4 linked regions of the Xenopus tropicalis genome follow. The protein of the gene in region 1 interacts with the protein of each later gene in a biochemical or structural test. Links are inferred from orthologs where the notes say so. Each region holds a gene or a part of one and is shown in the gene's direction. Other genes may lie near its edges.

The links.
Region 2: of the proteins of atm (region 1) and rbbp8, one has a biochemical effect on the other in vitro, tested with the Homo sapiens proteins (4 studies listed by BioGRID, with this or other methods). The link is inferred for Xenopus tropicalis from reciprocal best matches to the Homo sapiens genes ATM and RBBP8.
Region 3: of the proteins of atm (region 1) and atr, one has a biochemical effect on the other in vitro, tested with the Homo sapiens proteins (2 studies listed by BioGRID, with this or other methods). The link is inferred for Xenopus tropicalis from reciprocal best matches to the Homo sapiens genes ATM and ATR.
Region 4: the proteins of atm (region 1) and smc1a form a complex in vitro, tested with the Homo sapiens proteins (2 studies listed by BioGRID and IntAct, with this or other methods). The link is inferred for Xenopus tropicalis from reciprocal best matches to the Homo sapiens genes ATM and SMC1A.

Annotation. Positions count from the first base shown.
Region 1 is NC_030678.2:159,879,958-159,887,844, reverse strand, and holds part of atm (serine-protein kinase ATM), read left to right. Parts: intron 1-202; coding exon 203-368; intron 369-2,789; coding exon 2,790-3,028; intron 3,029-3,597; coding exon 3,598-3,767; intron 3,768-4,099; coding exon 4,100-4,266; intron 4,267-5,252; coding exon 5,253-5,624; intron 5,625-7,659; coding exon 7,660-7,857; intron 7,858-7,887.
Region 2 is NC_030682.2:108,886,753-108,895,434, forward strand, and holds the start of rbbp8 (DNA endonuclease RBBP8), read left to right. Parts: upstream 1-4,393; 5' UTR 4,394-4,612; intron 4,613-8,682. UniProt on the Homo sapiens protein: Endonuclease that cooperates with the MRE11-RAD50-NBN (MRN) complex in DNA-end resection, the first step of double-strand break (DSB) repair through the homologous recombination (HR) pathway.
Region 3 is NC_030681.2:119,659,182-119,667,693, reverse strand, and holds the start of atr (serine/threonine-protein kinase ATR), read left to right. Parts: upstream 1-3,627; 5' UTR 3,628-3,674; coding exon 3,675-3,736; intron 3,737-4,942; coding exon 4,943-5,034; intron 5,035-6,177; coding exon 6,178-6,327; intron 6,328-7,457; coding exon 7,458-8,341; intron 8,342-8,512. UniProt on the Homo sapiens protein: Serine/threonine protein kinase which activates checkpoint signaling upon genotoxic stresses such as ionizing radiation (IR), ultraviolet light (UV), or DNA replication stalling, thereby acting as a DNA damage sensor.
Region 4 is NC_030684.2:23,833,611-23,841,497, forward strand, and holds part of smc1a (structural maintenance of chromosomes protein 1A), read left to right. Parts: coding exon 1-256; intron 257-338; coding exon 339-479; intron 480-589; coding exon 590-672; intron 673-772; coding exon 773-980; intron 981-1,090; coding exon 1,091-1,276; intron 1,277-1,435; coding exon 1,436-1,615; intron 1,616-1,781; coding exon 1,782-1,928; intron 1,929-2,077; coding exon 2,078-2,215; intron 2,216-2,526; coding exon 2,527-2,643; intron 2,644-5,222; coding exon 5,223-5,329; intron 5,330-5,638; coding exon 5,639-5,780; intron 5,781-5,952; coding exon 5,953-6,098; intron 6,099-6,191; coding exon 6,192-6,345; intron 6,346-6,442; coding exon 6,443-6,553; intron 6,554-6,707; coding exon 6,708-6,864; intron 6,865-7,357; coding exon 7,358-7,512; intron 7,513-7,589; coding exon 7,590-7,741; intron 7,742-7,887. UniProt on the Homo sapiens protein: Involved in chromosome cohesion during cell cycle and in DNA repair. Central component of cohesin complex. The cohesin complex is required for the cohesion of sister chromatids after DNA replication.

The DNA of each region.
Region 1 (7,887 bases):
TTAAAAGTAGGGATGCATAGAATCCCTGTTTTGTTAAATGGATATCTTAAAGTTCTTAATATCTTGAAATGGTTATATGCAAAGATTTATTTTACTATTTATGCCTTTGTATTCCTTGCTGCCAGAAATAATCCATTCAGCCAGCTCTGCAGTGTGTATGTGCTGCTCTGGTCTCCACACATATTTATGTATCTGTTTGCAGACTTAGTGACCCTCTACTTCAGCTTGTATCTAAAACCAGAGAGCACTGTGAACCGCTTGCTAGTTGCTAGAATAATTCACACTCTGACCAGAGGATGCTGCCAGCAGACTGACGGACTGCACTCCCTGTTCTTCCAATTTTTTTCAAAGACAATGAAGAGAGTCAGGTAAATGGTTCTTACCCAGAAAGCAGCGCTACTGTGGTACAAGATCTTTGATTTTATATGGGTGACAGCTCACATGTCTTCATGGGATAAATATATAAGAGCTCTCGTATGTCTGCAAGTGCTGTCAAGTCCCTGCACTCTTCCCACAGTCAGTTGCATGTAAAACCTAAAGCCTATTGACGAAGGGGAACCCGGCGCTACTGCAACCTCCTGACCAGGCAGTCGGTCCAGCAAACTTTTAGTGATCTGTGTTAATAACTGCATTTTAGTTACACGCATCACTCACGAACCGAACACCAGAAAAGATGCCATGCAGACATCAAAAATATTCAGGTCCAGGTAAAAAACTCTTCATTCTGGGGGAAAAAAAAAACATGGCAATTGCCCTTGAAATTGCAGTTGCAGACGTAAATGTGCCTATAGTGTTTCATTTTGTTGGTGTCAGCAGCTGAATGTTTCTTCTGTTGAGATCTTTGTTAGGTTTCTGGGTACATCTGATCTGGTCCTTAGAATTTCTGGCTGTAAATGAAAAATGAACTCCTATCCTTGTGCCCAGTTTCCTTGTCCAGGGCAATGCCTCAAGTATCTCTTTCTTAGTACTCATCAGCCTTGTTATGTTTCCATATATGTATATATAAATGCAGTAAGAATCTAATTATAGTTAACCTTACACTTTTAATTATAGTAGAAGCGAAGATCTGTGCCCCCAAAGATGCCCCCAGTAGCTCCCCATCTTCTTTTCTGCTGATTCACTGCCCATGCTCTGAGCTGCTGTCACTTACCTGAGCTTAGGGACCGACAGATAATTATACAGATAACTACTCCATGGTAACTCAGAAACCAGTGCAATTATCATCAGAATTTAATAATAAGCCCTGTAGCATTAACTTATATGACAGGCAAACCTCATTTTCTGCTTGATAATTTTCAAAGACCCCTAAGCTTAGCTTTCCAACAGCTGCCCAGAGTGCACTGAGCATGGGAGTATCTCAGACACTTTCCAAGATGGGGAGCTCCTGTGACAAGTTTAAAAGTCCTGGATCATTGCTGCTATTGAGATGCTGGTGCAGTAAGTACAGTGTAAAAAATATGGCATTTCTGTCCATATTCATTTTTAGGGTTTAGTTCTCCTTTAACAAGAGGTTAAACATTCCATTTGTTAGTTGATTATCCATAAGGCCCTACGCAGAATGGTTTGATATCAGAAATGCCAGTGCCCACAGTATATTATTTAAATATAAACAATTCTTCATTCTTACCTAATTGACTGTTCCATAGTAATGCAACTACAATCATTCATTATTAATACAAACTAATCCTGACTAAATTGCAAATTGGGTGTACTGAATGATTTTGGCAATTGCACACAGGATGTTTATCCGTAGCCCCTAGTTTTTTTGAGAAGCGACTTCAACCAACTTTATAAAGCGGTGATGCATATGTTTTGCCAAAATTTCCCATGTTCCTTGTCCTAAACAGCATATATTTTAGTATATTTTTTACATGTTTCTGCACATTTTGGGTGAACAACAACCTGACTCCAACATCGGTAGTTAATCACAGGATTCACCAATAATTTCTTTCTAGAGTTGTGCTGATATAGGTTACAAAGATAGCTCGTAAATATATTATGACTGGTTAGGTAGCATGAAAAAAACTAACAAAAATTGATTCAGTGGAGGGCAAACAGACAAACCTTCTCTTACAAAAATATGTTGGACACTAGGGAGACTTTAGTACATCATTATTGGGTACTAGTATGTGCTAGTTTCCTTAAAGGAACAGTAACACCAAAAAATGAAAGTGTTCTAAAGTAATTGAAATAAAATGTACTGTTGCCCTGCAATGGTAAAACTAGGGTGTTTGCTTCAGGAACACTACTATAGTTTATATAAATACGCTGCTGTGTAGCCATGGGGGCAGCCATTCAACCTGGAAAAAAGGAGAAAAGGCACAGGTTACATAGCAGATAACAGATAAGACACCATTGTATTCTACAGGGTTTATCTGTTAGCTGCTATATAACCTGTGCCTTTTCTTCTTTTGAATGGCTGCCCCCATGGCTACACACCAGGGTTTATATAAACTCTAGTAATGTTTCTGAAGCAAACGCACAACTTTACCAGTGCAGGGCAGCAGTACATTATAGTTTAATTTCTTTAAAATATATACATTTTTTGGTGTTACTGTTCCTTTAAACAGTAGTAGAAATAGATGTTTGACTACCACTTCTCTCTTCCTTCTTCTCTCTTTTCTCTCTTCTCTCTTTAAGGAAATAGATTGTTCAATACAAAATGACATTATATTGATATCCAACCTGTAAAAGTTAAAATGCAAATAAAAATCATTGAAAAGAAATAGATGTTTGACTGGTTCCTTCTCTAAAGTATGGTAATGTTTTGGTGTTGCTTTGTTTGCCAGGGATGAGAGAAACCCACCTGGTCTGGATCAGATCCTCTCTGCTCTGAATGTGTTCCTTACCAGCGCCTCAGGGAATTGCCGGATGCGAGTGTGCAGGCTGGGGGAGGACTTGTTCCTCACTGTATTGCGGATCTGGACAATTCAAAGGCCTAAAGATGCACTGAAGGAGGAGATTGTGGAGTTCTTCAGGTTACTTCTTCGAATTCATCATCCAAAAGGAGCCAAGACTGTAGATGAAGGTGCAGCTTCTAATTCCTCACATTTAACTTTCCATGCAATGCGTGGTTGTTGAATCCCCTGAGATTTGTGATATGCTTGCTGCTTCTAGAATTGTATAAGGGGTAGTTCTGAGTACATTACAAGTACATTTACTCTTTTTATACTTTAAGACCCCTTAAGAACCCAAACATTTACAGAGTAGATCGAACAAAATCTTTTCCACAAAAACTATTGCTCTGTGAGGCTACAATTTTATTGGTATTTTTACTTTTTATTACTTATTTTTTTATTTAGGTCTCTCATTCATTCATTCGTACTTACTGGTCGCTAAAGTAATTTGAATCCTAGCAACCAAATAAGTGCTAAAATTCCAAAGAGATAATTCAAAACCTCAAATTAATAGAAAATGATCATCAGTTGCAAATTGTCTCAAAATAACTGTCTACAATATACTAAAATCTAACTCAAGAGTAAACAGCAACCACTTTAATATGGGAAGGGTGAAGTGCTGAAACGTCGCTGGAAAGCTCTGATAAAGACATATGGAATTTGCTTTATTAATGTTTTTAATGATTTTATTTTTACCCAGGTGCTTACGCTTTTGATCCAGACAGATGGAAAAGGAACTTGTACAACTTATATGACACACTGGTAAATGAGATCAGCCAGATAGGCAGCAGAGGGAAATATTCCTCAGGCTCCCGAAACATTGCAGCCAAGGAAAACTTGATTGAGTTGATGGCTGACATTTGTCATCAGGTAAATTTTTTGTTTTCTGCCAGAAACTTCTGAGCAATATATATTAATTTAATTGAGCTTTAAAAATATGTTGCTGTTGGTACCAGTAAATTCTGGTCCACCAAGGAGGACAGCACCACATTTTAGGAAAACGAATAAATTCTGACCTCTTGTCTTGGTCTCTGTTGAACTGGTTTTTATCTTTTCCATTTTCATAGAGCATTGTGGAAAAGGTTATTGCTTATAGACATTAATACCATCTACCTACCATAGCCCGTTCAATGTCCACATCTGCTTTATAGTGAAAAGATCAGTCCTTCCAGCCAATAACAACCCAGTTTCTCTTTGTCCAGCTATTCACTGAAGACACTCAGGTGCTGGATATCACACAGGCTGCTTTCCTAGTGACCCAAAGGGAACCATCTGGAGCCCCCAGCAAGCGCAGAAGGATTGAACTTGGGTGGGAAGTGCTACGTGACAACCTTCAGAAGTCCCATAAAGATTTTGATATCATCCCTTGGTAATATGAACTTCATGTTTTATCATTTGTGGTTTTTGAATTATTCAGCTTTTTGTTCAGCAAATCTCCAGATTTAAATTAAAGCAGCTATCTGGTTGCTAGGATGCATATTACCCTAGCAACCAGGCAGTGGTTTGAATTAGAGACTATATTATGAATAGGAGCTTTGAAGTTTGAATAAAAAGATAAATAATAAAAATGATTAATAATAAAATTGTAGCTTGGCAGAGCTATAGTTCATGGACCCCCTATTTGGTGACTCCTATTTGGAAGCTTGAAAGAAGAAGGAGGCAAATAATTAAACTATAAAAAAAAATAAAGAAACCAAAAAGACCAGTTGAAAAGTTGCTAAGAATTGGCTGTTCTAAGCAGAAAAATGCATGTGGTCAAGATGGGTGCTCTCACAATAGTATGAGAATCCATAGGCACATAGCACTAACTAATATCTCAGTCCTAAAAACAACTCCAAAAGCACTTCAGGGTGGCCCCACTCAATATATAAATTTATACACTATTTGTGAAGCATAATAAAATAAATATTTACAAATTAGATGAGATCTCAGCATATTATAAATACAATTACTTTTGTCCAGAGAAGATTATTAGGTAACTGAAAATTATTTTCCTGCAGACAGAAGTTATAATATGCTGACATCTGCTCTTTCCTATTGGTTCAATAGTGGTTCAGTAGTGGACCACCAAGGATTATCTACTGTTGAAACAGCACTTGGATTCTGATTTCCTATACAAGAGCTGGGATTTTCCTACTGCTTTTACTTAAGTATCACAATGCCCAAGGGGGGTATGGTATGCCACCCCTATCGGTTTTGGCTAAGTTTCCTACTAGGCAGTGCCAGAAGTAGCCCTTGCCTTTATGCACCCAGGTCCTAAGTGATCATATAGAGAGAAAAATGAATAAAGTTACTTGGATTTTGGCAGTTGTGGTCATTTTGTTATTTGACAGTTTCTGTATTCAACGTTTCTAGGTTACAAATTGCAACCTGCTTGATTGCCCGATACCCAGTGAGCCTGCCTAGCAATGAGCTGACTCCATTACTGACGGTTCTACACCAGTTACTTGCCCAGCAGAGACGAGGCGAGAGGGCCGCTTATGTGCTTCGCTGCCTAAAAGAGGTTGCCGTTTGTCAAAAGCAAAAAACAGATGTGAAGATCACACCAAAATCAGATCTGTACAAACTGTGGTCTAAAATCTGGGCTGTTACGTTGCGTAGCATCAGTTCTCCCCAAACAGAAGAGGAAAGTTTTGCCTTACTGGGCTCCATCTTACAAGGAGGTCTAATACCGGCTGACACAGATTTCTGGAAGATTTTTTCAGGAGCTGCTGCCAAACCATCCAGGTGCTTAAAGAGTTTTAAGAAGAAGCTAAAGGTCGAATTGTATTTTAAAGATATGTTTCAAAATTTAAAGTTTTGTTGTGAGAATTTGCTGCTGGGACTTTTCTCCTCTATCACCAAAAAATTACCTTCAGATTTAGGGTGCAGCCATATAGAACCCTATATTCTTTCTTTTTGCACAGACCCTGACCAGTGCTGCCTTCAGTGTAATCACAGCTGTTCAGCTGTGAGATAAGTTAAGTAAATGTTATTTAGTTTTTAGGTATCACTAGGGTGTGGCACATTGCACATAATTGCATTTTTGGCTGTATATAACCTTGCAGTAAACAGAGCTAGAAACTACCTGTGGCCAATTTCCAATAGGATATAGCTCATCAGAGCCCTGGAATCAGTTAATAGAGCTTCTCTAGCAGAATCCTGCATTGAAATCCGTTTTTTTAGGGCTCTGGCACACAAGGAGATTTGTCGCCTGCGTTTTTCCTCCTGGCGCTTTGGCGACAAGTCGCCACGACAATACCCACGAAGAGATTTCATGCGAGTTGAGCTCCAGGCGATCTGCTACCCATGGTACACTCAACAGTTAACCCCCCCCTCATGTTTACTTAAGTCGCTCAGAAAAGGGTCTGTGTGCGATTTGAAACAGCAGGCGATTTGAAGTAGCCTCGTATGTTTTGACGCTGGCGATTTCCATTGGCGTCTTGTCGCTCGTCTTGTCGCCAAATCGCTCTTTTAAAAATCGCCGGCGACAAATCTCCTCGTGTGCCAGAGCCCTTAAAAACACAGATTTTTTTATATGTACTCTGATAAACTTCAGTCACACTTTACTGCTGAGCTGCAAGTTGGAGTGATATCACCCTCCTCCCAGCAGCCGATCAGCAGAACAATGGGAAGGGAGCGAGATAGCAGCTCCGTCTTGTAATTAACACTTTTTCTGCTTTTCTGCCCTCTCCCCCTTTCTCTGTGTGTTGTAAATGAGCCCTCTGGTCTCAAGTGTACAAAAAACAATGTTATGGAACTTAAAGGATAAGGAAAGCTAAATTCACTGAATGCTGCCCATATATTAGACACCCCCAGTAAATTTAGCAGAAAGGGTAGCCACGGTGCAGATGAAAGGGTAGCCATTTTGCAGCAGAAAAAGTAGCCACGTGACAGCGGAAAGGGTAGCCACTGTGCAGCAGAAAGAGTAGTCACGGTGCAGCGGAAAGGGTAGCCACTGTGCAGCAGAAAGAGTAGTCACGGTGCAGCGGAAAGGGTAGCCACTTTGCAGCAGAAAGAGTAGTCACGGTGCAGTGGAAAGGGTAGCCACTGTGCAGCAGAAAGAGTAGTCACGGTGCAGCGGAAAGGGTAGCCACTGAGCAGCAGAAAGAGTAGTCACGGTGCAGTGGAAAGGGTAGCCACTGTGCAGCAGAAAGAGTAGTCACGGTGCAGCAGAAAGGGTAGCCACTGTGCAGCAGAAAGAGTAGTCACGGTGCAGTGGAAAGGGTAGCCAAAGTGCAGCAGAAAGAGTAGTCATGGTGCAGCAGAAAGGGTAGCCACTGTGCAGCAGAAAGAGTAGTCACGGTGCAGCGGAAAGGGTAGCCACTGTGCAGCAGAAAGGGTAGCCACAGTGCAGCAGAAAGAGTAGTCACGGTGCAGTGGAAAGGGTAGCCACGGTGCAGCGGAAAGGGTAGCCACGGTGCAGCGGAAAGGGTAGCCACTGTGCAGCGGAAAGGGTAGCCACTGTGCAGCAGAAAGAGTAGCCACTGTGCAGCAGAAAGAGTAGCCACAGTGCAGCGGAAAGGGTAGCCACTCATAAAATGTGAATTGGGGTGGCCTCTGGGTGCCCAAAAATGAAATTCCGGCCCTGACTGTAGAGTAAGAGTAACTGACATGTTCCCAATAGCTGAGTATATAAAAAGTTGGTGAAATAGTGATACATACAGTATTAACCACAAACCTGATGCCATTGCAGAGCTAAAGAATATTATTAGTGTGTTTTAACACCATCATACCTGGCAGAGGAGGCAAGGTTTGCTTGAATCTGTGTGTTTCCTTGCAGCCCTGGGGTTCATTGCTTGGCTGTGGCCCTCACCTCATGTTGCCTCCCGGAGCACGTCAGTGTGGGTTTCGATAATCCCATGCATGAAGCCAATGGCACTCGAAGCTCTCTGAAAGAAGAAATCATAAAATGGCTGTTGTTTGGTCATCTGGATGATGAAATGGAAGACACTAATGAGCTTTCTCCTGTCATAAGCAAGTTAGTATACAATACATATATACATACATA
Region 2 (8,682 bases), on another chromosome or scaffold:
CTTTTCTAGGCCATTAAAATAACTACTGTCTCTTTAAAATTTATATTGATCCTGCAAAAAACATACCCTAGGGTATAATGCTAATTACACTTACTAACTATATTGTTTCAAAATAATCTGCAAATCTATTTTGCCTTTCATCATGGAACTTTCAAAGCATGAAGAAGAATGTTCTGCCAGTTAAAAATGTTGAAGCAGCAATAATAAGTTCATGTATGAATCTGTACTATTATAGCTGAGCTGGAACAGACAGGGTGTGTTTGTACAACAATTACTCACTTAACAATCAGATGACACAGTGTTATAAGGAGATTTCTTTACTGGCAAAAAGTTGGAAAATCATTTTTCTGGCTACAAAAAAGAATCTCTAACAACTGGTACTACTTCAGATTACTTTAATTCATGCTAACAATGATAATAATAATACAGGTCTTTATTCTGCCACCTGAAGCTTCAGAGCCAGCTAACATTACATTAATGCTGTTCTCTTATTAGATACGGCAAAGTCACCCTCTCACACTAATCACTTAATTAAACCCATCCTCCAGTCTAGTGTTGTCCATATTTGTGGGCAATAAAAAAAACAAACACAATACAAAACATACATTAATGGTAGAGAAGCCCTTGGGCAGTAAAAGCTTTTGAACAGTATTTGCTGGTGGACTTCAAGTTAAATATTCCTGATCTAGACAAATCCAAAGGGACTTTCTTTACCTTGACAATTGTCAATCAGATTCCCAACTACAGACAGATTTTGCCCTTCTTGGAGCTCATCAGTGTAGTGCAGGGTTTTCTGATAAGCTTAGGCAGAGCCACACGTGTGGATTCAAACAAAAGGAATTCTGAGAATGAAAGCAGAAGCCAGCATAATACCTGATCAGATTCCCAACTACAGACCTGTTTTACCCTTATTGGGGCTCATCATTTGTGAATCCACACGTGTGGTTCCACCTAAGCTGATCAGAAAACCCTGCACTACACTGATGAGCCCCAAGAAGGGCGAAACCGGTCTGTAGTTGGGAATCTGATCAGCTTTTATCCTGGCTTCTGCTTTAAAAACCCAGTGGGTGAGCTTTAGCCTCTAGGATAAACCCATGTAAATGGGATTTTTTGGAATCCTTAGGAATTCATTCCCAGAATTCATTTTGTTTATTTGAATCTGTATGAAGCTGTCTCCTCAACCCTAATTATTTGTTTGTGAATCCACACGTGTGGCTCTACCTAAGCTGATCAAAAAACCCTGCACTACAATGATGAGCCCCAAGAAGGGCAAAACCGGTCTGTAGTTGGGAATCTAATCAGCTATTATACTGGCTTCTGCATTAAAAACCTAGTGGGTGAGCTTTAGCCTATGGGATAAACCCATGTAAATGGGATTAGCTTAAAGGAGAAGGAAAGTCACAATTGCATCACAAACCTGCGCTACTTCAAGCAGAAAGCCCACAAAATATAATGAAATGTTGCACTTGAAGGTAAGACCGCTTTCTTACCAAAAGTATTAAAATGAATACAACAGAACAAAGTCCTTAAATATTAGCAGAGTCCATGTCCATACATGTGTGTTTATCGCCACAGAAAACCTCAACCACTTTCTATTCATTTCTACGGGAGTTTTTGAAGCATACTTATCAAATGGTGAACTCTTACTTTCCCCCAATAAAGTATTTTAACTTTACTGTGGTGAGCTCCAATCTCACACTTTGATAAATCTGCCCCTTAGTATAATGTGTTTTGAACCTTTATCTTTCCCATGCTTGAATGCTTTATACCAGTAATCCCCAACCAGTGGCTCAGGAGCATCATCACCCCCTTTGATGTTGCTGCCAGTGGCCCTAAAATAGATGCCCATTTTTTAGTTCCTGGCTTGGAGGCAAGTTGCAGAGCCTCCTGCAGGTAAGCAGTCCAGATGGGGCTACCAAATGGCCAATCACTTATTTGACATCCCCAAATATTTTTTTTCATGCAAATGTGGCTCACCAACACTTTCTACATCTAAATGTGGCTCACAAGTAAAAAGGGTTGGAAATCTCTCTTTATACCTTCAAACTTCTAGGCTGCATTTACTCTAGTTGAGTGAGTCTGTAGTCATGTAGGTTCTAGATTTTCAGTACAGCTGTATACCAGAATCATGTAATATACAAGGCATGCAGCATTCTTTGAGGCCCTCAGGAAATAAAACTGTCAAAATTAACCTGAAGTCTGCTAACAGTTAGAGGCAAATATTTAAACTCAAGCCATGTCTAGCTTGTGCATTCTTCTTAATATAAGACTCTTTCTGTTAGACAAAGACTATTATGTCCTAATTACAAAGAAAAAAATATTTTCCCTACACCACCATATGCTTGTAAAAAATCAATTAGATTAGAACTGTGGATGTTACCAGTGAAAGTAGTGTTACCATATAAGTAAAATATTCAGTAGAGGTGATTTTTTATTTTGATTACTTATTATGAAGAAGTAGATGTAGTGGCAAGCAACTTTTAATACCACTGACATTAAAGGAGAAGGAAAGTTATTTTGGCATTTTACTGCCAATAGATTAGTGACATTAGTGCAAGCTACAACACTATATTTAGTATAGCAGAAAGCTTTACTATACCTGAGAAAACAGCTGTAGAAAGCTCCCTCCATTTGTTTAAGATAGCAGCCATTTTAGCTTGGTCTCTGTAGCTTCTGGTAGCATAGTACACCTCTAAAATCTGATGGGAGGGGGAGTGAATTCTTATGGGAGGGGGGAGCAAGAGATGGGGGAGAGCTGCACAGACTTAGGCCCAGGGAATGAAGGATTTTTCTGAGAGAGGAAGTCTGACACTGAATAACATGTGTACACAAAAGAAGACAAGAAACCCTGTGTTTCTTTTGATAGAGGGTGCAGCATTTCTGTGAGTGCTTATGGCTGTGTTAACATAGACCTTTCTTATAAAGCTTACTTAGTTTTTCCCTTTTCTTCTCCTTTAAGCAACCATGCTGCTCTAGATAGTTTAGTTCTGAAAGGAGCTGGGCACAACCAATGTGGGCAATTTTAGCCAGATAACTGAACTCACCAGATACTTGGAATCCACAAACGCTCTTAATTCAGAATGGATGTACAAATGCTGAGGTCAACAGGAATCTTTTTTCCCAACCCCTGAAGCAGCTCCTTTACACTCGGAGCAGGAACAGGAAAAAAGGATGGGAGAAACTTACATAACACATAATGAATGGGAATAGGGGGGTTTACAGACAAAGACACTAAACACCTTGTAATGCGCCATTGGTCACAAGGTGACCATGTAACAATATACATGCATATAAAAACATTTTGAATTACATCTTCAACATAATAAATAACTATTAACTACTGGGACGGCACTAGGGTTGCCAATAAAGATTTTGTGTAATTTCGCCTGGCCGTTAAAGATTTTGTGTGATGTTAGTGTTATTATTAGGATAAAAAGGCAAAAATATAGGAAGCCATTTTTTCCACAAAAGGTGGCAACCCTTGACAACACACATTCTACAGCCCACAGGAAGGAATATTGTACCTTTATTATCCATGGTAAGAATCCCTTTTTTATACTTCAGTTATGGATATAACTAAAACTATTGTGTTATACAGATGCAACAGTTTATCTTCAAAAATGAGCCTTTTGTCTTTCAAGAATACATTTCTGACTATAACTTAGGAAACTGAAACTCAGATGAGTTGAAGTGTAATTCAATATTTAAACACAGTAAATGAGCCTGTTTTCAAAGTAAAGTAATCAACATACTTTATGTAAGTACAGCTGAAGGACCAGCATATTTGTAACAGCTATAGTGGAATAAATGATGCATATCAGTGAGAGCTGTCATAATGCTTGCCTCAGTTACTGTAAATATTTACAATATTTAAGTTCCCCTAGGGGCCATAAATAGGTGGTACTGTTTTTATCTATGGCACTTTCCATTGCCATGGCAACAATATGGCCACTCACACACATTTACTGTATATCAAGGTCATTATGTAGAGAAGGAATGTTTTGTGTACAAAAGATATGCTCTCATACTGCAACGCAATGCTTACCTATATAAGTGCAATTTGCATTCATTTATATGTAACAAAAGATATTGTGAGAGCAGTAGAATCGGTAGAATCTGTCAGTATTTGACACAGACACTCTTGCCACTCCCCCAACAGCCTGCAAAATTATTTTGCTGGAGGCTACAACATTCTCTCCCCATTTGTTGGGAGGCGCCTGATGAATCAATCATTCAGAGAACTGTATGGAGCTTAGCGGTGCTCAGCCACAGCATGTTTCTCTGTGCTTTGATGCAGACTGGTTGGACTGGTTTTTGGCTGACTGAGGAACCGGTTTGACTGGACTTTTATGCCAACAAATTCTGGTATCATTCCATGTTACACAGAATGCTGAAACCTGCCCAGCAAGTTGAATGAAAGGCATATTAGGATATCCATTGCACATTGTATGTATGTGAGGCGCAGCTTAGCACACATGCACTTCAACAACACTTGCCCTAGGATGGTTCAGTCTGAGTTCTTCTCTTAGTTGCCTAGGTAGAGGCTGGAAGGAGAAGAAAGCAGTAGACACTAAGTATCCCCAAACAGCTACTCACATACTTCAGCTTAATGGTAAGCTCTGTCATTTTTACATTTTTATTGTCTACTTATTTTGTTGTTGTTATATTTTTCCCAGTGCATCCGTTTAAATGTATGGGTGCAAGGTCTAGGGTTTGCTCAAAGAAGTCAAGGTTATGGTTGAAGGCCATATTGTTGCAATAAAAACAATTAAAAATTTGTACCTGTGACTAAAATTCACAACATTATCTGCAATACTGTATATGTTTTGTTTGGCTATACAGAGAAAAGGTATTAATGGTATGTTATATTTAAATGTATTAACTGCTTTTGAATCAGTCACATTTCCTAGCAGTAAATGTAATCATTAATTTAATGGAGCAAATATTGTGTAACTGTGCAGTATTGCCAATGAATTCACATTGCTTATATTGTATTGCAGTTTTAGTTCATTTTTCTGCTGGTCAGACAGTGTGAATGAAGCCCAAAGTGCATGCATAGTAACAGGGGCATATTCACAGTCAGGTAATGGATTAACTCTGTCCAAGGTTAAGTATTATGCACAATATAAACTAAATAGAAAGGAATGAAGGCAGGCAGGCTGTTTCATGCCTATGTGTCCTGGAACATTCTTTAGCTCAGGACAAATGGAATCTGCGAATGATTTAAATAAATGATAGAATGATAAATGGGGACTGTTGGAAGAAATACACCTGTGGGGTCGCAGAGTTTTCGGCACAACTTTGCACAAGGCTTTTTGATTTAAAGAATTATCTTGTTGGCAAAATGACATAAGTACTAGTCTTCCGGTGTGTTTCAGGGAATGTAGTTCAATAACAGCCTGGGGGCAGAAAGCACAATATCTTTTGCCTAGATCACAACCTCTAGGACAGAAAACAAATGTAACCTATAAATATAAACTTTAGCAGCCAGGGAAAATGAGTCTGGTTGTTTTCTCTTGGCTTTTAAATTGTGACAATCTCATTAAAAGTGTACATGTGTTAATATTGAGGGGATTACTGGTGTTCAGAAATAACCTAATAAAAAGATTGGATCTTCTGTTATACTGTCTTTAGTCATCAGCTATCACTTATTTCCTTCCTATCTTTGTTTGTAAGCATTCTGGAGCAATGTCCTCCATTCTTTTCTAGGGATGCCTGAAACACTGCCATATACATACAGTACAATCTGCCATGTGTTTCCACCAAATAGTTGGCACCAGAAAATTAGAGTATAAACTTTTGAGCAAACTTGTGCCCTTGTCAGGATGGATGAAGGGTGAATGGAGCATGAATTTATTATGGTAGTACATGTATAGTAAAGGATTCCCCAAACACCACTTTCATTGAAGCATCTTATTCACATGCATTTGGTATTTTATGGCATATGGTATTTTAATGCATTTAAATGTGTGCACATTTATGTAACTATGATACTAAATGAAGCCCAGTATGTCCCTGCATGCCATAGCATCAAGTGAAAATTCCTTATACAGGTATTGGATTAGTTATTTGGAAACCCGTTATCCAGAAAGCTCCAAATCACAGGAAGACCCATAGACTCAATTTTAATCTAATAATTTAAATTAAAAAATGATTTCCTTTTCCCTGTAATAATTAAACAGTACCTTGTACTTGATCCCAAATAAGATATAATTAATTCTGATTGAAGGTAGAACAATTCTATTGGGTTTAAATTATTTTTAGTAGACTTAACACATGGAGATCCAAATTACAGAAAGACCTCTTATCTGGAAAACCCCAGGTCCTGGGGTTCTGGATAACAGGTCCCATACCTGTATTATATAAGCATTTGCATTAATAATAAGAAATCCCATTATAGGCCTGTCACCTATTCTCTAGCAATATAGGAAGCTTTCAAAATTGCCCCTGTCCTCCTCTGGTAAAAAAAACTGTGCAACGCAGCCAAGGAGCACCACAGGGTAACCTCTTACCTATCTGCATATCTGCTTAGTACAATAGTGTGAGAGGGGTGGAACATTCACATGCAGCCCACATTATACCTGAATGTCCCAATTGAACTAGGTGTCATATTATAGTTAACCCTGGCATAGGTTTCATCTTGTAGCTTCTGTATTGGCAATAGTCTAAACAAGGAAGTGGGGGAAACATGGAGTCCAACGGAAGGTACATTTTGGCCAAATTATTAACACTGCTCCTTTGTCTACTCGTGAGATATTTCCATTACTGTAATGCAGTTGTTAAACAAGTACTTTCCATTACTCCACTTTCGAGAGTGCCATTGAAAAGTATAGCACTCACTGCTAGGATTCCGTACATGCTCTCAGTAGGTGTGGTACCATTAACCAAATCCCCCAAAATTCTCTTTGCTTTGCTCTAACATGCCTTCTAGCACCCTTAAAGTAACTTGTTTTTCATCAAAGGGTTATATCTGAAATATTTGAAGAGAAATACACTCTACTTCAAAGATGTGTTTCTCTATTTATTTGCAGTAAGAGCATATAGGTGTAAATGTCAATCATCCTACACAAGTTATATAGCACTAGAACATTTGTGCAACTCTTTACAGAATGCTCTGTGCATACAATAAGTAATATCTTAATATCAATTCAAAGGGGATACAAAATACAGATATATAAGGTCAATGTTTCCTTTAAAGGAGAAGGAAAGTTACAAGCACTAGAGGGTTCCTAACCTTTTTTGGCACCCCCCAGTTATTGCAGTTGGTATGCAATGGGTTATGTAGCCTGAGCACACCTTATGACTGGTTTCATATCTGCCAGTGTTTTTCCTTTTTTCAGATGGCTATAAAAATATTTATTTAAACTATAGGCAACTTTAACCCTCAAACAGTTTTATGAACTTGTGTGAGTGCTGAATTTAAACAGGTATGGATATTCTCTTTGCCTATAAACACATGACTGTAAGCACAATGTGAACTATTAAATACTGGAATGTCACCTACGTGGAAGCACCAGTACTTCAGCATATTTTGCATCCTTTGTGTTTGCCGCTATCAGAAGCCCATATTATGATTTAATATTATTTACAGTTAATTAAAATAGTGTGTGGCTTATTTTGGGCAGAGAACATTATTTGTAAAAACTGATATATTGCTAGCACTACTACTGACAAGCGCAACAAGCATATATACCCAAGAGTGCCATCTCCTGGTCATAGATGGATAATGCTTTTTTGATACAGTCTTTACAAAATTTCTCAGCAGATGCACTAAAAATTGCAACTCCTGGCAATATGTATAGATGAAATACTTATAAACTTGGTACTTGTATAACCTTGGCAACTAACCCAACTAGTCTTAGCAAACTACAAGTTTGTTTTGTGGGTATTCATGCATCTGGGCAGGGCTGCCATCAGAAATCACGGGGCCCATCACAAGAAAATTTTCTGGGCCCCCCTCCACCCACGTCCTGCCCCTCAATGGCCCCTCCCATTAGTAAAAAGGACACACAGACATTGGTAGTCAGGGCCCCCTAAAACAGTGGTAGCCCGGGGCCCCCTAAAACATTAGTAGCCAGCATCTCCCCAGCATCCTCCAGTTAACCCCCCTCCCTTGTCCTCCCCCTCAGCATCCTCCAGCTCCCACCTGCCCAAGCATCCTCCGGCTCCCCCCTGCTCCCACCAGCATCCTCCAGCTCCCACCTGCCCAAGCATCCTCCGGCTCCCCCCTGCTCCCACCAGCATCCTCCAGCTCCCCCCAGTGGCTTCCTGCGGTTCCCCCCTCTTGATATGTGCCCAAGCTCCCCCCAACATCTGCACAGCTCCCCCAGCATCCTCCAGCCACCCCACCAGCGACTTCCTTCAGCTCCCTCCCCACCAGCGACTGCCTCCAGCCCCCCCAGCAACTTCCTCGAGCTCCCCCCCAACAGCGGCTTCCTCTAGCCCCCCCAGCAACTTCCTCCAGCCCCCCCCAACAGCTACTTCCTCCAGCCCCCCCAGCAACTTCCTCGAGCCCCCCCAAACAGCTACTTCCTCCAGCCCCCCCAGCAACTTCCTCCAGCCCCCCCCACAACATCAGCTTCCTCCAGCCCCCCCAGCAACTTCCTCGACCCCCCCCCAACAGCTACTTCCTCCAGCTCCCCCCCCAACAGCGGCTTCCTCCAGCCCCCCCAGCAACTTCCT
Region 3 (8,512 bases), on another chromosome or scaffold:
GTCAGTTGACTTTAGCTTGGTTTACTGAAGTGAATCATGACTCAGCCTTGACATGAAGCCTTTGGGAAAGGAAAAGACAACGACAACTTTGGGAAAGGAGCAGACTATTAACCCCCTTGTCCTATTTTCCTGTGTAGTAAGTACTAAATGTGCACTAGCCATTGGAGTCCTGGGTAAAACAGATTAATGAAGCAGCATGTTTGTCATGAACAAACTATAACAAGAAAGGTGGCATTATATTAATAAATAAGACATTTCTGTTTGGGCATTTAAATAGAGTATGGCTGCAATGAATGCATGTATAATCAATATACTAAGAAAACCTCAAGAACCTACCTGCATGTTCTAATATAAACTCTGAATGGAACAACTGCTTGTTTTGCCTTTTTTCCTAAGTAACTTTTGCAGCTCTCTGTATTTGTGGATCTTCTAGGCACCAGCACTGTGCAAGAAACGTGCCATCTGAAAAAAACACAGCCATAATCCAATCAAACTGATAGACAGGAAGGGGGAGCTAGTCAGGCACTGTTTCACATGATTCGTAGTTGCCAAGGATTAGATTTCTCTGACGTCTTTAAATGTAGGTTGCCCTCGAACTGGCGATTTTAGTGAAGATTTATCTGGGAATCACAAGAAAAGTAACAAGTCTTCTTTCTCCAGAATATATATACACTTTCATACAGTCAAAGTGGTTCACTCAAGAAATTTGCAATCAACAGGGCAAAACTGTATGCTGTATCTATTTTATTGAATTATTGTATCAGTGCACATCAAACACCAATATGAGAACTGGCGTGCAGGAAGTGATACCATCCTCACTCTACATATGCCACCCATACTTTGCACCCATTTCACAGAAATTCACTAGGTAATTAGCATTTGTTTTGGTGGATTGCATGCATTTGTACCAGATGCAATTTAGCCCCTGGCTGTTGGAATTCTCGGAAAAACACAGAATTTTGGCAACTGGCATCCAAGAAGTGCACTTTTCACCATGTGCTATGTTCACAATTGACTCATATTGTGTCTTATTTAAACAAGTAGTTAAAAAATGTTAACTGTTTTTGCTTTTTCTCTTCGAGGAAAAACAGTATATTGTACTGACGGTAACTAAACTAGCATAAATCCATATTGATGGCAAAACAATTGTTGGGTTGTTATTAAGGCACAAAGCTCCAAATTACAGAAAAACCCCTTATCCAGAAAACTCCAAGCATTCCCATAATAGACTTCATACCTGTGTTTACAGAATTTCCTATGCAAGCATGACAAGGGGCAAATGAGAGGAAGGTAGGAAGAGCAAGTTGATCTACCCAGGGGAAACCTGCAGCACAGAAACAGAATCTACGGCAGGGATTCCCAACCTTTTATACCCCTGAGCCACATTAAAATGGAAAAAGTTTTGGAGAGCAACACAAAAAAAAAAGGTCCTGGGGGTGTAAATGAGAGCTATAATTGGCAATCTGACAGCCCCTATCTTGACTGGAAGCCTACAGACGGCTCTGTTTGTCAATTACACTGGGTTTTTATGGAATCAAAGCTTGCCTCCTAATCAGAAATTCAAAAATAAGCACCTGTGCTTTGAGGCCACTGGTAGCAACATCCAAAGGGTTGGTGAGCAACATGTTGCTTATGAGCAACTGGTTGGGGATCACTGATCTAGGGGAACAGCAAAAGTTCACTCCTACAGCATTAAGTCCCAAAGTGTGCAGAGTGATTTTCCCTTTGGACGAGGTATTATGTGAGAGTTGGAAGGAAAGCTTGTATAGCTCCACCTGGTGATGTCATACCCTATGAGTGGGTTAGAGTCTCATATAAACAGGTATATAAAGTGACCCCTGGTGTGTACAAAATACAGGGTATGAGTCATTATCTTTCGCTTGGATAACCCTTAGAGAGTGGGGATGTGTGTTTAGAGAATAGGGTAAAGTTAAAGTGAAGAGTGCCCTGCAGTAGTGAAGGCCTTGGAAGAAGTTGGAAAAAATGGACCTTCTAAATGGGTATTAGTCAGATGAGGGATAGATTTTATGTTCAACTTAGCATGACAAGGGTTTTTAGTGAGCAGTTTAAGGTTCCAGCATGAAGTGGAGTTGCTTAGAACCCTTGGTGTATTTCACCAACACAGGGACTCAAATGCAGACTCAGTGTAGAAGTGAATCCTTTGGTATACCACATTAAAAGGTTCTGGTATGTTGTTTAAACTGTATATTTGTGTATTGTTGCTATTAATATTGCAGATAGTGAATCTGTTACCAGTGTGCTGTGGTATCGTTAATTCATATTTCCCAATTTGCATTTCTAATCATAAGCTCATGGCAACAGCCTTTAACTCTCATTGTTAGCTGTTTGGCAGAGAAGAGACTAAGTGACTAAGTTTGGAAACACCTACGAGGGCACACTATCAACAATGGCCCAAGATGCGACATCTGTGATGAGCACAACCAGCGATGATGTGATCACAACCAGCGACATCTGTGATGAGCACGACCAGCCCTAATACCACAAGCATTAATAAGTCCATATTACTGCCAACATGTGGTGCTATGGTGAAGTGGGTGGTTCTCCAAGAAGATACAGGGGGCCTGAATTATGATTATTCCAGCAATCATAAATTAGGCCTCAAGTATTTAGGCTGTGTATTAACTTTATACTGTAATCTAGGTTAAAAAAAGACACACATATATAGCGTTCAAGTTTTAGGAGCCCATTCATTAAAGAAACTAATTTTGGGTGGTTACAAGCATGGTTGGCAAAAATTCGGAGTAGCCACGATAATTTCTGATGTGCGAAAATGTCACGAAGATTTTTGCTCCATTGAACGAAAATATCGTGGTTGCAATCCAAAAGTCACAAAATTTTCATATCCGAACAATTGTAAGCGACGCGAAAACCTTTTTGGCTTTGAAACTTCAATGCATGATTTTGGAAGCCTTGTCAATGGCACTCTACAGATCCAACTTGGGCAAAAGACAGTCACAATACCAATGCTTGAATGAATTCCAAAATGGTTGTAGTCTCTGTGAAAAATACAACATTTTCGTGTAAGTTAACGAAAACCACAAAAAAGTTGTGCAATTTTAACGATATTAACGCGGTCATTACGAAAAGTCCTATAAATTAGAAAAAATATGATTTTTTTCTCAAAATAAAAACTTGTGATTTAGTGAATGGGCCCCTAAGGGCAGCAGGAATCTGCTGGTTAGTTAATCCAGAGGAAGGCAAAAACCCCATTTAAAGCCTCTCCAATTTGCCTCAGATTGAGGGGGGGGGGGGAGTCCTTTAAATTTTACTTAATTAAGAGCTATGTTGCAGATAGGGGCGGGTTAATTAAAGCAAGTAAAAACGAATTTAAATAAAGAAAGAAATAAATATAAAGTGAGTTAATAAAAAGGTCAGTCTGTTACTGCCTGCGAAAAAAGGCTTATACTAGTATTAGTGATACTAGTTACAATTTGCAGCATTGCCTTGAAAACAACACACGGAAACGCCGATAGCTGTAACTCATGACAAAGCATAGAAAGAAACGCAGCAAGTTACAGCTGAGAATGTGCAAACGAATATACAGGAAGTTTGGACACCAGGGCCTCCGTACCGTGTTTTTCTCCCGCCTCCGTTACGCAAATTCGGATTCTGTAGTTTTTGGGGGGTTTTAGCTCTGGGACTGAGCCGGTACCATGGCTGCTGACCCCGGGCTCGAAATGGCCTCCATGATCCCGGCCTTGCGGGAACTTGCCAGGTAAAAGCTCCCGGGCTGGACATGACTTCGGGCTGCCAGTAGTTGTGGAGACAGTTCCACCTCGCCAGGTGTTTCACAGCTGCAACTCCCTGTATCCGCTAGCTAACCGGGGTGCCGGTGTTTGATTATTACATATAGAAAGACCTTATGTGCTTCAGTATGTGACTATGACTGGCTACAGTAATGATGGAGAGGAAACATGGCTCAACTAATCCCTCTTGCAAGTCTTGTTGGGCTAATGATTTCTCTGTGACTTGAGGCATGTGCTGTTCTTCAGTACTGGGTTTGATACTTCCTTGTGTTCCAGTGAGTAAGTCTGCAGGGATGTGAGTGCAAGCAAATGTATAAATTCACTGCTTGCATCCAACAAGTACCAGCAATGAGCTGCATAGTAACAAGTGACAGCTAAAGTGATGCTCACACATACAGCCCTGTTTGTTAAAAGAAATGACAACTTTAGGTTCCAGCGAATAGATGTTTAATAAGTATACTATACAGTTAGACAGCAACTGAGTTACAGCTGATTTTAGTATTCTCAGATTTCAACCACAGCACCATCAATGTCCTCCAAAGGTTATCTGCCGAGAGAATCATGTCTAATGGATATCCACTGGTGCAACATTCAACAAGGGTATTAACCCAGTACATTCCTTGCTGGAGCCTCACTAGGGCTTTCTATATCATGCTGCTACTGTATACTTAGGATTTAACTATCAGCCGGCTATTCCATATTCCCTGTCCCTCAGGCTGCTGGGGGGGGGGGGGGTTCTATTGTCGAAGCTGACTCTGCAGCTGTAGTTGGGTCTAGGAATGTAGAGGACTCAGTGGGGTCCCAAATAATAAAAATAATAATAATTACATATATTAGTAAAACAGGACACTTTATTATAGGGTCACCAAAATAAATTTTTGGTCGCAACTAGTGACATTGCCTGGGGCCTACACCTACCACAGGCCACGGACACACATATACACTCACTTGGGGGAACCACCTGACACTTCTGTACCAATAATATTTTAACCGTCAACAACATATTGTATACATTTTAAAGAAACATTTACCCAGTCTGACAACTTTATAAGAAGTTCCATATTAAAGTAGAAAGAGTTTTTTGCTGTGAGGCTGTCCATCCATATTGTCTAAGAAGTTAGTGAATAATTATTTATTTATTGAATATAATTAACCTTCCATTTCTTAATTAACAGTGCGGAGGCAGATGAATATAACACTATTGTTCAGAAACCAAGACAAATCCTTTGCCAGTTTATAGACCGGATTCTGACAGATGTGGACGTTGGTATGTCTTTTAATTTATATGTTGCATTACATTCTTACAATGCTGACTCAGTTATTTGATCCAAAATGCATCTATGTATTAATGGCACACTTGTTGCCCAGGTGCAGTAAACCATAGCAACCAATAAGATTTTTACATTTAAACAGGTGGCCAGTAAATGCCACCTGCTGATTGGTTGCTACAGATGTCTAGACCTTATATAAACTTATTATAGGGGATGGCCACCTTTTTTAGATAGATTTAGATTTAAATTAAAATATTATAACAATAATCACACCGTGATTGACAATAGAATTAATGGTATGCAGATTGATGACACAGCGACTGAGCATTCTCAACAAGTCATTTGACAAATTTTCATGAAAAATTGAGAAATGCATTTCACTGCCCTCTAAAGGGAGATGATCTGTCTCCTTTTGTCCTAAATTTGTCTGGAGCCTTGCACTGTCTGGTTGAATGTGCTGTAAGGGTTACTGTGTCTTTTTCCAAATCTGTTCCAACAATAGGGCAGTTTAACGTATACACAGAATCTCATAAGCATCTAATGAAATAGCTCATTACTTTAATTACTGACATGCTCATTTGTAAATATCCTTGAAACATGCATAGCGATACACATTATTAACTATTGTGTACGAGTGAAATGGTATGTTAAACCTACATTAAACATACAAGAAAAAAGGTTTCTTGTTTATTTTACCTTCCTGCTAAACCCTTTTTTTCCATTGTGTGGGATTTATCTGGAGACTGTAACATAGACTGATCTATCTGTTCTTATGTGTTTGCACAGGCACCCTTTTATTGGATCTGCTCATGCTTGGTTTCCAAAAACGGGAAGGTCTTAGGGTAGCAGGGATCAAATAACAAAATGATAAATATAAATATGGGCTTGGGGGCTCACCTATCATAGAAAAGCTGAAAATTAGTTCAAATATATTGCAGCTGTATATAAATAATATGTTATAAAGTGCCAGATGGCTGAGCTGTAAAACAACTTTCCTACTAAGAGACCTCCAGGCATCTAAAATGTTTAATCTGCAGGGTTTAAGGGTTCATTGTCTGTGATCGTTCTTATTGTACTGTTTAGGCTAATTGTCATGCAGAAAAAAAAAATCATTATCGTGTATTTCTGTTTGATTATAGTTGCTGTGGAGCTGTCAAAGAATACTGATTCTCAGCCAAGTTCTGTAATGTTGCTGGATTTTATTCAACACATTATGAAATCTTCACCATTAATGTTTCTCAGTGCAAATAATGTTGATCAGTCTGCCGAAACCAATCAGAACTGTGTTGGTGAGTTTTTTTTGACTGTTCATTGGGGATCATTGGTGGCTACTCCAGATAAATGGTTAATGGAGAAAAAAAGGTGAAAACTAAACACTGTACTGCTCTGTTAAAAGAAACACTGCTTTTCTTTCCTTCTATTCTGTACACATGAGCTTCTGCATTAGACTTCCTTCTCTCAACTCAAACCTCCAGGGCTCGGGCTTGAGCATGAGCAGCTTGCTCCCTTCTCCCCCCCCCCCCTCCTCTCTACTGTAATCTGAACACAGAGATGTAGGCAAGGAAATGAAGTCAAACAAAACTAAAATGGAGAAAGCATCTAGGGCTGTTTTCTCGGGTATGGTAAAGCATTTTTTAGAATAAACCTTTCCTTCTTCGATAGGCAGCTCATGCTTTCATTTGTCCCTTAAAGCGATATGTGCGGGTAAAGGGCATTAAAGGAAAACGTAAAGCTTTACATTTTTGTGTATATGGGTGTCTTGTTCCTATGTATATTGGTATAGAATGCACAGTGTTTGTCATATTAATGGATCAAAATGGGTATTCCTGCTTGCATAACACAATTCCATGTCAGACCTTACTAACCACAGTCCTATCCGTGATACACAGAGTTACTTATTTCTCTATATACAGCTTCATATGTTTAACACAAAGTAGACTTCATTAAACATGTTAAGGCTTTTTTCTGATCACAAGGCACAGTGCTAGCATCAAATTTTGATTTAGAATCATGGCAATTAAAATGCACCAGTTTTAGTCTCTCTATGCTCTGTACAATAGTGTGCAAGGTGCAGTGTACTGTGAAGGAAGGGAATGTTGTACTGCACATCTGCCTGGAGCTACTGGTATTTCTAGCATCAAATACTCAATCAAAGATGTTATTCATTATGTGCCATCGGGAGTCCTCTCATTGGTACTGTTAATTTACTAAATGGGACACAAGTTTTGCGCCTGTATTGATGAATATGATGTATTGTGTTGGGATGCTTTCTAAAAACACATTATGGGTAAAAAAAAATTCGCAAATATCTCTGGAAATGTGATTATTTGCAGTGATAATGACTCATATGTTATCTGTGAACACGTATTTATATGTGAAAAATGTTCTGACTCACTTTTTTTTTTTTTTTTTTTTAAAGCATTTAGCAACTGGATCATTTCCCGGGTCCTACGCATTGGGGCTACACCAAGCTGCAAAGCTTTGCATAGAAAAATTGCTGAAGTCATCCGCTCCCTGCTTTTTCTTTTCAAGAACAAGAGTCCTTTCCTATTTGGTGTTCTTACAAAAGATTTATTACATCTTTTTGAAGATCTTATCTGCATACATGAACAGAACATGGAGCAATCCATAGTTTGGCCTGTGACCGTCTCTAGATTTCTAAGCAATGCATCAGAGAACCAAGCTTATTTGCGATGCGCTCCATTTCAACTATTAAACATGCAGTGCATTGAGCCTTTAGAATCCACTCTGCTAATGGTTTTGATGGATAATGAAAATGATATCTTTCCGGTGTTTTTCCAAAGGCAGAACCTCCTTCTTTGGGGCATCGGGTGCTCTCTCTTGGACTATGGAACTACACCACTTAAGATACAAGCGTTACATTTTTTAAGAGAACTAATAAAATTAGGGGGTCCACCAGAACAGGGTGCATATTTTTTCTTTATTGTTTTTTTTGGGATACTAACTTATATAAAAGACATGGATTTAGAAGAACTGTCTCTCTATGAGATGCCACTTTTAGAATTAGTAAGGGTTTTGTTCATATTTGAATCTAAATCTTACCTAAGCATTGAACCTGTCTATCTAAACATGTTGCTGGAAAAACTTGCTGCTCTCTTTAAAGCAGGTATCCTGAAGAATATTCAGTCAGCTCCCCTAAAAGAAGCTCTTTGCTATATGGTCCATTATTTCCTTAGTGTTGTACCTCCAGGCTATGAATCTGCCAAAGAAGTTCGTGAGGTACATGTTCGCTGCATCTGTAGTGCTTTTGTTGATGTCCTTGGACTTCAGAGCAAACAAGAAGTAAGTAGAGATTACAGATTTCTTAGTACAGTACTCAAGTATTTTTGGTTGTTCATTAGCTTTAATGTATAGTACCATATTTTACGGTATCTTTTATTCCATTGTATGTTTACAAACATCATAACTAATAGACAAATCTGTTTTCATCCTTCTCTGTAAAGACTATTTCAT
Region 4 (7,887 bases), on another chromosome or scaffold:
GAAAGATGCGGAACTGAATCAGAAACGTCCTCAGTATATTAAGGCCAAGGAAAACACTTCCCACAAAATCAAAAAGTTGGAGGCAGCCAAAAAATCCCTTCAGAATGCCCAAAAGCAGTACAAGAAGCGTAAAGCAGATATGGATGAACTGGAGAAGGAAATGCTTTCTGTAGAGAAGGCTCGGCAGGAGTTTGAAGAACGGATGGAGGAGGAAAGTCAGAGTCAAGGACGGGATCTTACACTGGAAGAAAATCAGGTAAGGTCTTCTTGCGTGCTGTTCAGCTTGACTTATGTTTAAGGGAGCACTGATTTTTGAGAAACAAAAATGATCTTGTTAGGTCAAGAAATATCATCGCCTAAAGGAAGAGGCCAGTAAGAGAGCAGCCACTTTAGCCCAAGAGCTTGAGAAGTTTAACAGGGACCAGAAGGCTGACCAAGATCGACTTGATCTGGAGGAGAGGAAAAAAGTGGAGACAGAGGTTTGTGCCAGTGATGACTTTTTAACCATTGTGTTTTAAAATATGAATGCCAATTTTCTAGTTCTTGGGAGTAGGAAATAGTCACTGAATGGAATATGCTCCTTCTCTAGGCTAAAATTAAACAGAAATTGCGTGAGATAGAAGAGAACCAGAAGAGAATTGAGAAACTCGAGGAGTACATTGCCACCAGCAAGTATGTGATGGTTGTTTGTTTGTAGTCTTCCACAATCTTTAGGACTGGTAAGGGACAACATAGCTACACATAATCACCTTTGTCATATTATTTCTTACAGGCAGTCACTGGAAGAACAGAAGAACCTGGAGGAGACCTTAACTGAAGAGGTGGAGCTGGCCAAGCGAAGGATTGATGAGATTAACAGTGAGCTGAATCAGGTGATGGAGCAGTTGGGAGATGCTAGGATTGACAGGCAAGAGAGTAGCCGACAGCAGCGGAAAGCTGAGATTATGGAGAGCATAAAGCGACTGTATCCTGGATCTGTGGTAAGTTTGATTATTTGGAATTTTCAAAAGGCATCTGTCCCCTCTACATATTGACACTCAGTTGATCATGGACAATGGAAGCATTAATTTATCCCTTTTCTATTCCTCAGTATGGTCGACTGATTGACCTTTGCCAGCCCACCCAGAAGAAGTACCAGATTGCAGTCACCAAGGTGCTTGGAAAGAATATGGATGCTATCATTGTTGATTCAGAGAAGACAGGAAGAGACTGCATCCAGTACATCAAAGAGCAGCGTGGAGAACCCGAAACCTTCCTTCCTCTTGATTATTTGGAGGTTGCCATTTTACTTTATCTTATTATTGTTGAATGAATGTTGGCTATGTAGACCAAGAATAGATAAGTTTTATTCTTACTGTTAATGTGATGCTGTTTGGGTACTTTATACCTGCATCTTAACACTGATAACAGCTGATTGTCTTTTACTTACTTCCAGGTGAAACCCACAGATGAGAAGCTAAGGGAGCTGAAAGGAGCCAAACTGGTGATAGATGTTATCCGATATGAGCCTCCGCATATCAAGAAAGCTCTACAATATGCCTGTGGTAATGCCCTGGTCTGTGACAATGTAGAGGATGCACGCAGGATTGCTTTTGGAGGACATCAAAGGCATAAGGTGAATATTAGGCAACTCTGAGCAGAGTGAATTGAATTTTAAGCAATAACCATTTCTTTATTTGATGCCTGAGATGTTAGCTGAATTTCTAGTATTATATGATCTTAGCAGGCTCTGAATAATGTGGTACATTTTAACTAAAACACTGTATCTTCTTGCTCTGCAGACAGTGGCCCTGGATGGAACCTTATTCCAGAAGTCTGGTGTGATCTCTGGAGGTGCCAGTGACTTAAAAGCCAAGGCCAGGAGGTGGGATGAGAAAGCAGTGGATAAACTCAAGGAGAAAAAGGAGCGCTTAACAGAGGAACTAAAGGTGAGACTTAATCAGAAGAAAGACACGCCAATTAAGTATTTTAGAAAGCTTGTGGAGGTACCAGTCACGTTTTTACCTAAGGAGCTAAAAATCTTGGTTACATGGCTCAAACAAAGAGAGTCTCACAGACAAGGGCTTATCTCTTATAGGAGCAAATGAAAGCCAAACGCAAAGAGGCTGAACTGAGACAGGTGCAGTCCCAAGCCCATGGTCTACAGATGAGGCTGAAATACTCCCAGAGTGATCTGGAACAAACCAAAACCCGGCATTTGGCTATGAACTTGCAGGTAAGTAGCCAGATTTGCAAAAAAACTTATTTTGCTGTCCATATATGTTCTATTATATTCTATGCATTTGTCAGCAGTTGTCTTGTGGGCACAGTGATCTTGGTTGTTCACAAGCATGTATTAAAATCCAACATCGAGGGTCCACAGTGATAACTATTACCTCTAGACAGTGGTAAATGTAATAGATGTCATATATAAAAAGAAAATGGGCTGATGGGAATTGTCTGAATTAGATGAGGCCCAGCAGGAGATCCCCTGGTCATAGTGTCTGAGATTTCCCAATCTATTTATTTCTTTCCTCTCCCTAACAGGAAAAATCCAAGTTGGAGAGTGAACTGGCCAATTTTAGCCCTCGTATCAATGATATTAAGCGGATAATTCAGAGCAGAGAACGGGAAATGAAAGATCTGAAGGAGAAAATGAATCAGGTAAGGAGCAGTGTGAACCTTAAAGGAAATGTAACTCCTTCACAAAATTACACTTACTCAAAGTTTTTTTTTATTTACTGTGTTTTATTGTTTATTTATATTTTTGTTCACCTGTTTGAGTGGTTGGGAATAAGAACTGCTTGCTTGCTTTTAGTTGTCAGAATATTGGTAGCATTTGTTAGTCCTACAAGGACCCAATACACACTTGCTTACGTTAGGTTGAACAGCACAAGAGGCATCATTCCCTCCCTTAACTGCTGCTATACGTACTCATCACCTCAGACCTTCTAAAGATGGCTGCTTGCACAACCTATCTGATATTGGTATTTAAAGGGGTTGTAAAGTCATCCAATTAAGTTGAGGGATTTTGATAGATTTCCTAAAAAGAAACACGTTTTAAATATAGATGCATATTCTCTTTCATTTTAGGTGGACACAGTCACTGAAGGGTTAACACCACTTTCTGGGAGGAAAGGACACTAAAAGAACAAGCGGTGGCAGTTATTCCAGGGGGCCAGGCTGCCTCTCCCAACAGGCTACACCCCCCTGTGAGGGCTGGAACTACCCAGTTCTTTTAGTGTCCTTATGGAAGGAGGATGACATAACTCCCCTTTTTTCCTATTTATTTTACTTTATTTTTTTTTTTCCCAATTTCTTCTCCCACTTGGCAGTGATTTGGCAGTCCGGGACCATAAGGGTGCTTCTGCACCGGACCTGCAGTCAGCATCTTCACTGCTTCTCGCTCCCTCCCTTAAGTACTGTAGCGGGTAGCACTCTTCTTCCACCCACTCTACCCTTGGCGCCTATTCTTCTCTCCTTTCCTTCTCATTCTGGATCCGCTGCACTCTGCCAGGAACAGACAGCTCAGGGCAGATGTCTACCACAGCAATCTCTTCTCAAAAACGTCCTAGAGCTGCAAGCCATTTGCCTAGCTCTCTTACATTGGACAAATCTTGTCAAGTGCAAGCCCATCAAAATTCAGGCCGACAGTGCCACTGCGGTGACATATGTCAATCATCAGGGGAGAACCCGCAGCAAGGGTATAGTTCAGGAGGTTTTCCGCATCCTTGCCTGGGCATAGGAGAATGTTCTGGTGATATCAGCAATGCACATCCCAGGAGTTGACAATTGGACAGCAGACTTTCTCAGCAGAGAGACCCTAGACCAAGGGGAGTGGGCTCTTCACCCAGAGGTCTTCCAAACTCTGATCTTGCTCAGTCTTGTGGCCTCCAGAACCAACTCCAAACTTCCAAGCTTCATGTCTTAGTCCAGAGACCCAGTCACCATAAGAGTAGATGCTCTCACAGCCCCCTGGCCCTACCAGTTTGTTTGCATCTTTCCTTCTCTTCCTCTTCTCCCCAAAATTCTCAAGAGGGAGAAGGTCAGGACCATCCTCATTTCTCCACACTGGCCCCGAAGAGCCTGGTTCACCGACATCAATCTCTCACAGTCCACCCTCTTTCCTCTTCCAGACTGGCCAGATCTCCTAAGCCAAGGACCAGTGTTCCACCCAAATTTTTCAGCTGTTTCATTTAATGGCCTGGCTCTTGAAACTCTAGTTCTACATCAACATGGGTTTGGGGATAGAATTATCACCACTATGATTGCTGCCAGGAAACCGTCCCCTTTGCATGTGGTGGACCTACAACTCCTGGTGCTCAGCCCAGGATCTCCCTCTCCATCGTTTCAACACAGCCCACATCCTTGGTTTCCTTCAGCAGGGTCTCGACAAGGGCCTCATCTCGCCTTTCTCAAGGCCCAGGTCTCTGCCCTTTTCTGTGCTATTCCAATCCCAGATTGCTCTGGATACCCACGTCGGGCCCTGCTACTTCGGGGTGGGCCTCCATCTGGTACTCTTTCTTCCAGGGGCCCCCTTTTGAGCCCCTTGCAGTGGCATCCGAGACACTTCTCACATGAAAACAGCCTTCCTGCTCGCTATCATGTCAGCCAGAAGAGTCTCCGAGCTTACAGCCCTGTCCTGCCAACCTCCCTTTCTTACTTTCCATCAGGACTAGGGTGGGGGAGTCTCCCCCACCCTTGCCTTCTGGGAATTCTTCTCACCCCATTGCACAGGGCTGGATGTAAAAAGTTGCCAACGCAGAGTTCAAACATACCACGGTTATATTTTTTTTTATGTATAAAGTTATTTTCTTCTACCGTCTTTAGTACTTTCTGGGTAGTTCCAGTTCCTTTCCTTATGGAAGGTGGTGTTAATCCTTCAGTGCTTTTGTGTCCCCCTTTCAGTGAAGAGTGAAAAGGATTTTACAGGTAAGACAAAAATCCCTTTTTGTTTTTCTTACTGTTGTAAAAAGAATCAATCTGGTTTCCTCTGCTGCAACAGGCAGCCTCCGTCAACCCCCCTGCTTTGTTTCTGATGATATTGGATAGGTTTCCTACTGAACAGGATAGCCGGTCGCCACTTAAGTTTACTGAACAGCTTAGGAAGGGGCTGCCTGCTATTGCTGAAGACACTGGATCATTTATCTTTACAACTGTAAGAAAAAAATACAAATATTGCAGGTATATGGGAAATGTACTAAAGCAGTCTGTACCTAACATATACCATTATTGTCTTCCAGGTGGAAGATGAGGTTTTTGAAGAGTTCTGTCGGGAAATAGGTGTCAGAAATATCAGAGAGTTTGAAGAGGAGAAGGTTAAGAGGCAAAATGAGATTGCCAAGAAAAGGTGGGTGCCTTTTGCATCAATAAATAAAAATGTTTGTAAGTATTCCTAAGTGTGATGTCACATGGGACTAATGTGTAGTAATAGGGCAGGCACTATAGTTGCAGGTCCTTGGGAAAAACCACTAATATTCTACTTCCACTATACAAACTCTTTTCTGCAATATTCAGTTATTTATGCTGCTTTTCAGCACACAATTGAAATAGTCTTCATTAATGTAGATTTTTATTTTTTTGCATAATCCATTGATGATGTCTTTTTATTTCACAGACCTTAGATCTTGATTTAATTTCTGCTGTTCTTTCACTACAGGTTGGAATTTGAAAATCAGAAGACCCGTCTGGGCATTCAGCTAGACTACGAGAAGAACCAGCTGAAAGAGGACCAGGGCAAAGTGCAGACATGGGAGCAGTCTGTAAAGAAAGATGATAATGAAATAGAAAAACTCAAAAAGGTGATGATGACTGTGAACGAAGAACAAAATACCAATTCATAGGCTTGTTCGGGCCTACTGATATTTTTGTGCTGTCACATCTTGACACAAAATGTGCCCACCGAAAGTTCAGTGGAATGGTATATAAAAGATGGCACCTTTAAAATACTTTAAAAACTTTCTGTATACTTAGGAAGAGCAGAGACACATGAAGATAATCGATGAGACGATGGCCCAGTTGCAGGATCTGAAGAACCAGCACTTGGCTAAAAAGTCAGAGGTGAACGACAAGAACCATCTTATGGAAGATATCCGTAAAAAGCTGGGGAGTGCCAACAAGTCAGTACCTCCTTCTCTGTTTGCTTAATGAAGTCTGTAATGAAGCACAACGTCTCGTCCAATATAATGTAACAAATGCATGATTATTCTTAGGGAAGTCACCCACCTTCAAAAGGAAGTCACCGCCATTGAAACAAAGCTCGAACAGAAGCGCAGTGACCGCCATAATCTGCTCCAGGCCTGCAAGATGCAGGATATCAAACTGCCACTGTCCAAAGGCACCATGGATGATATCAGTCAAGAAGAGGTTTGAATATTCTTTGTCCTTTTATTTTCCCTTTCCCCTTAAAGCAATCCTTATGTATGGCAGCAATCCTTATGATGCAGCATCATTTCTCTTTCAGGGTGGGTCTCAAGGAGAGGAGTCTGTCAGCAGTTCCCAGAGATCCTCTACTGTTTATGCAAAAGAGGCATTACTTGAAATAGATTACAGTGACCTCTCTGAGGATTTGAAAGTAAGTACAATTTTTAACAGACAATTCACAGAATTAAATGTGTGGCTAAAAAGGTAGTTGCTATGCCTTTCTGCATGCATGCTGGGTAGTTTGCTGTATGCTTGTCTTGGTTATGAATCCTGTTTTCATAGGTGGAATTGATTTTTCCTTTTAGGATGCAGTGGCCGATGATGACATCAAACAGGAGATGAGCGCATTGCATCAGAAGCTAAATGAGCAGCAGAGCATCTTACAGAGGATTGCTGCTCCCAACATGAAGGCCATGGAGAAACTTGAGAGCGTCAGAGATAAGTTCCAAGAGACATCAGACGGTGAGTAATGCAGATGCAATGAACCTACAAGGGTTTGCTCCGGTTGTACAATGTAGTTGTAGTTCAAAATGGCAGCAAATATTATGTGTGTTTAAGTAGTAAAAAATTATTTTACAGCTGACCTTCTTTGCACTGTTACATTATTGGTGCTTGTTAGTTTCATGCTGATGCTTGGCTTCCAAAAGACAGAAGGTCATGGTATCGCTTTTCATTCTCAGCATTTATATACCTAAAAACAATTGTATGCAACCGCAGAGGCCTATATCCATGTAATACTGAAGCTTCAGATAAGTACGTGATTTCTAAAATTGGGCATTGCTAGCCAGTTCCTTGGGTCTGCCAGATACATAACCTTACCTATGGGCAAATATTGCCTTGTGCTTAATTTTTTTTACCAGAGGAAACTAGGCTAGGTGCAAAAACCATGCCACTGCCCTTTTTAGTTTTTTTAATAATTGGTCCATAAATTTTATGATTTTTTTCCCCTTTACAGAGTTTGAAGCTGCTCGAAAACGAGCCAAGAAGGCTAAGCAGGCCTTTGAGCAGACCAAGAAGGAGAGATTTGACAGGTTTAATGCATGCTTTGAGTCTGTTGCCACAAACATTGATGAAATTTACAAGGCCCTCTCTAGAAACAGCAGTGCCCAGGTAACAAGCTAAGACCACTATGTATTTGTTTTTGGCTGTTGCTATACTCTGCTTTCTGACACGGTTTCCTCATACAGGCTTTTCTGGGACCAGAGAACCCAGAGGAGCCTTACTTAGATGGGATCAATTACAACTGCGTGGCGCCTGGTAAGCGCTTCCGGCCAATGGACAACTTGTCTGGAGGAGAAAAAACTGTAGCGGCACTTGCTCTGCTGTTTGCTATTCACAGGTATTTTTGCTTATCTTGGGCAGCTCTGCCTAGGCAGAATGTATTCACTACTCGGCACGTACAGTACCTCCTGATTGGCTGTAGTCAAACCAGATGGGTATAGTGCCTTAAAATTGTGAGTAACCCTGTTAAGGTGATAGAAACTT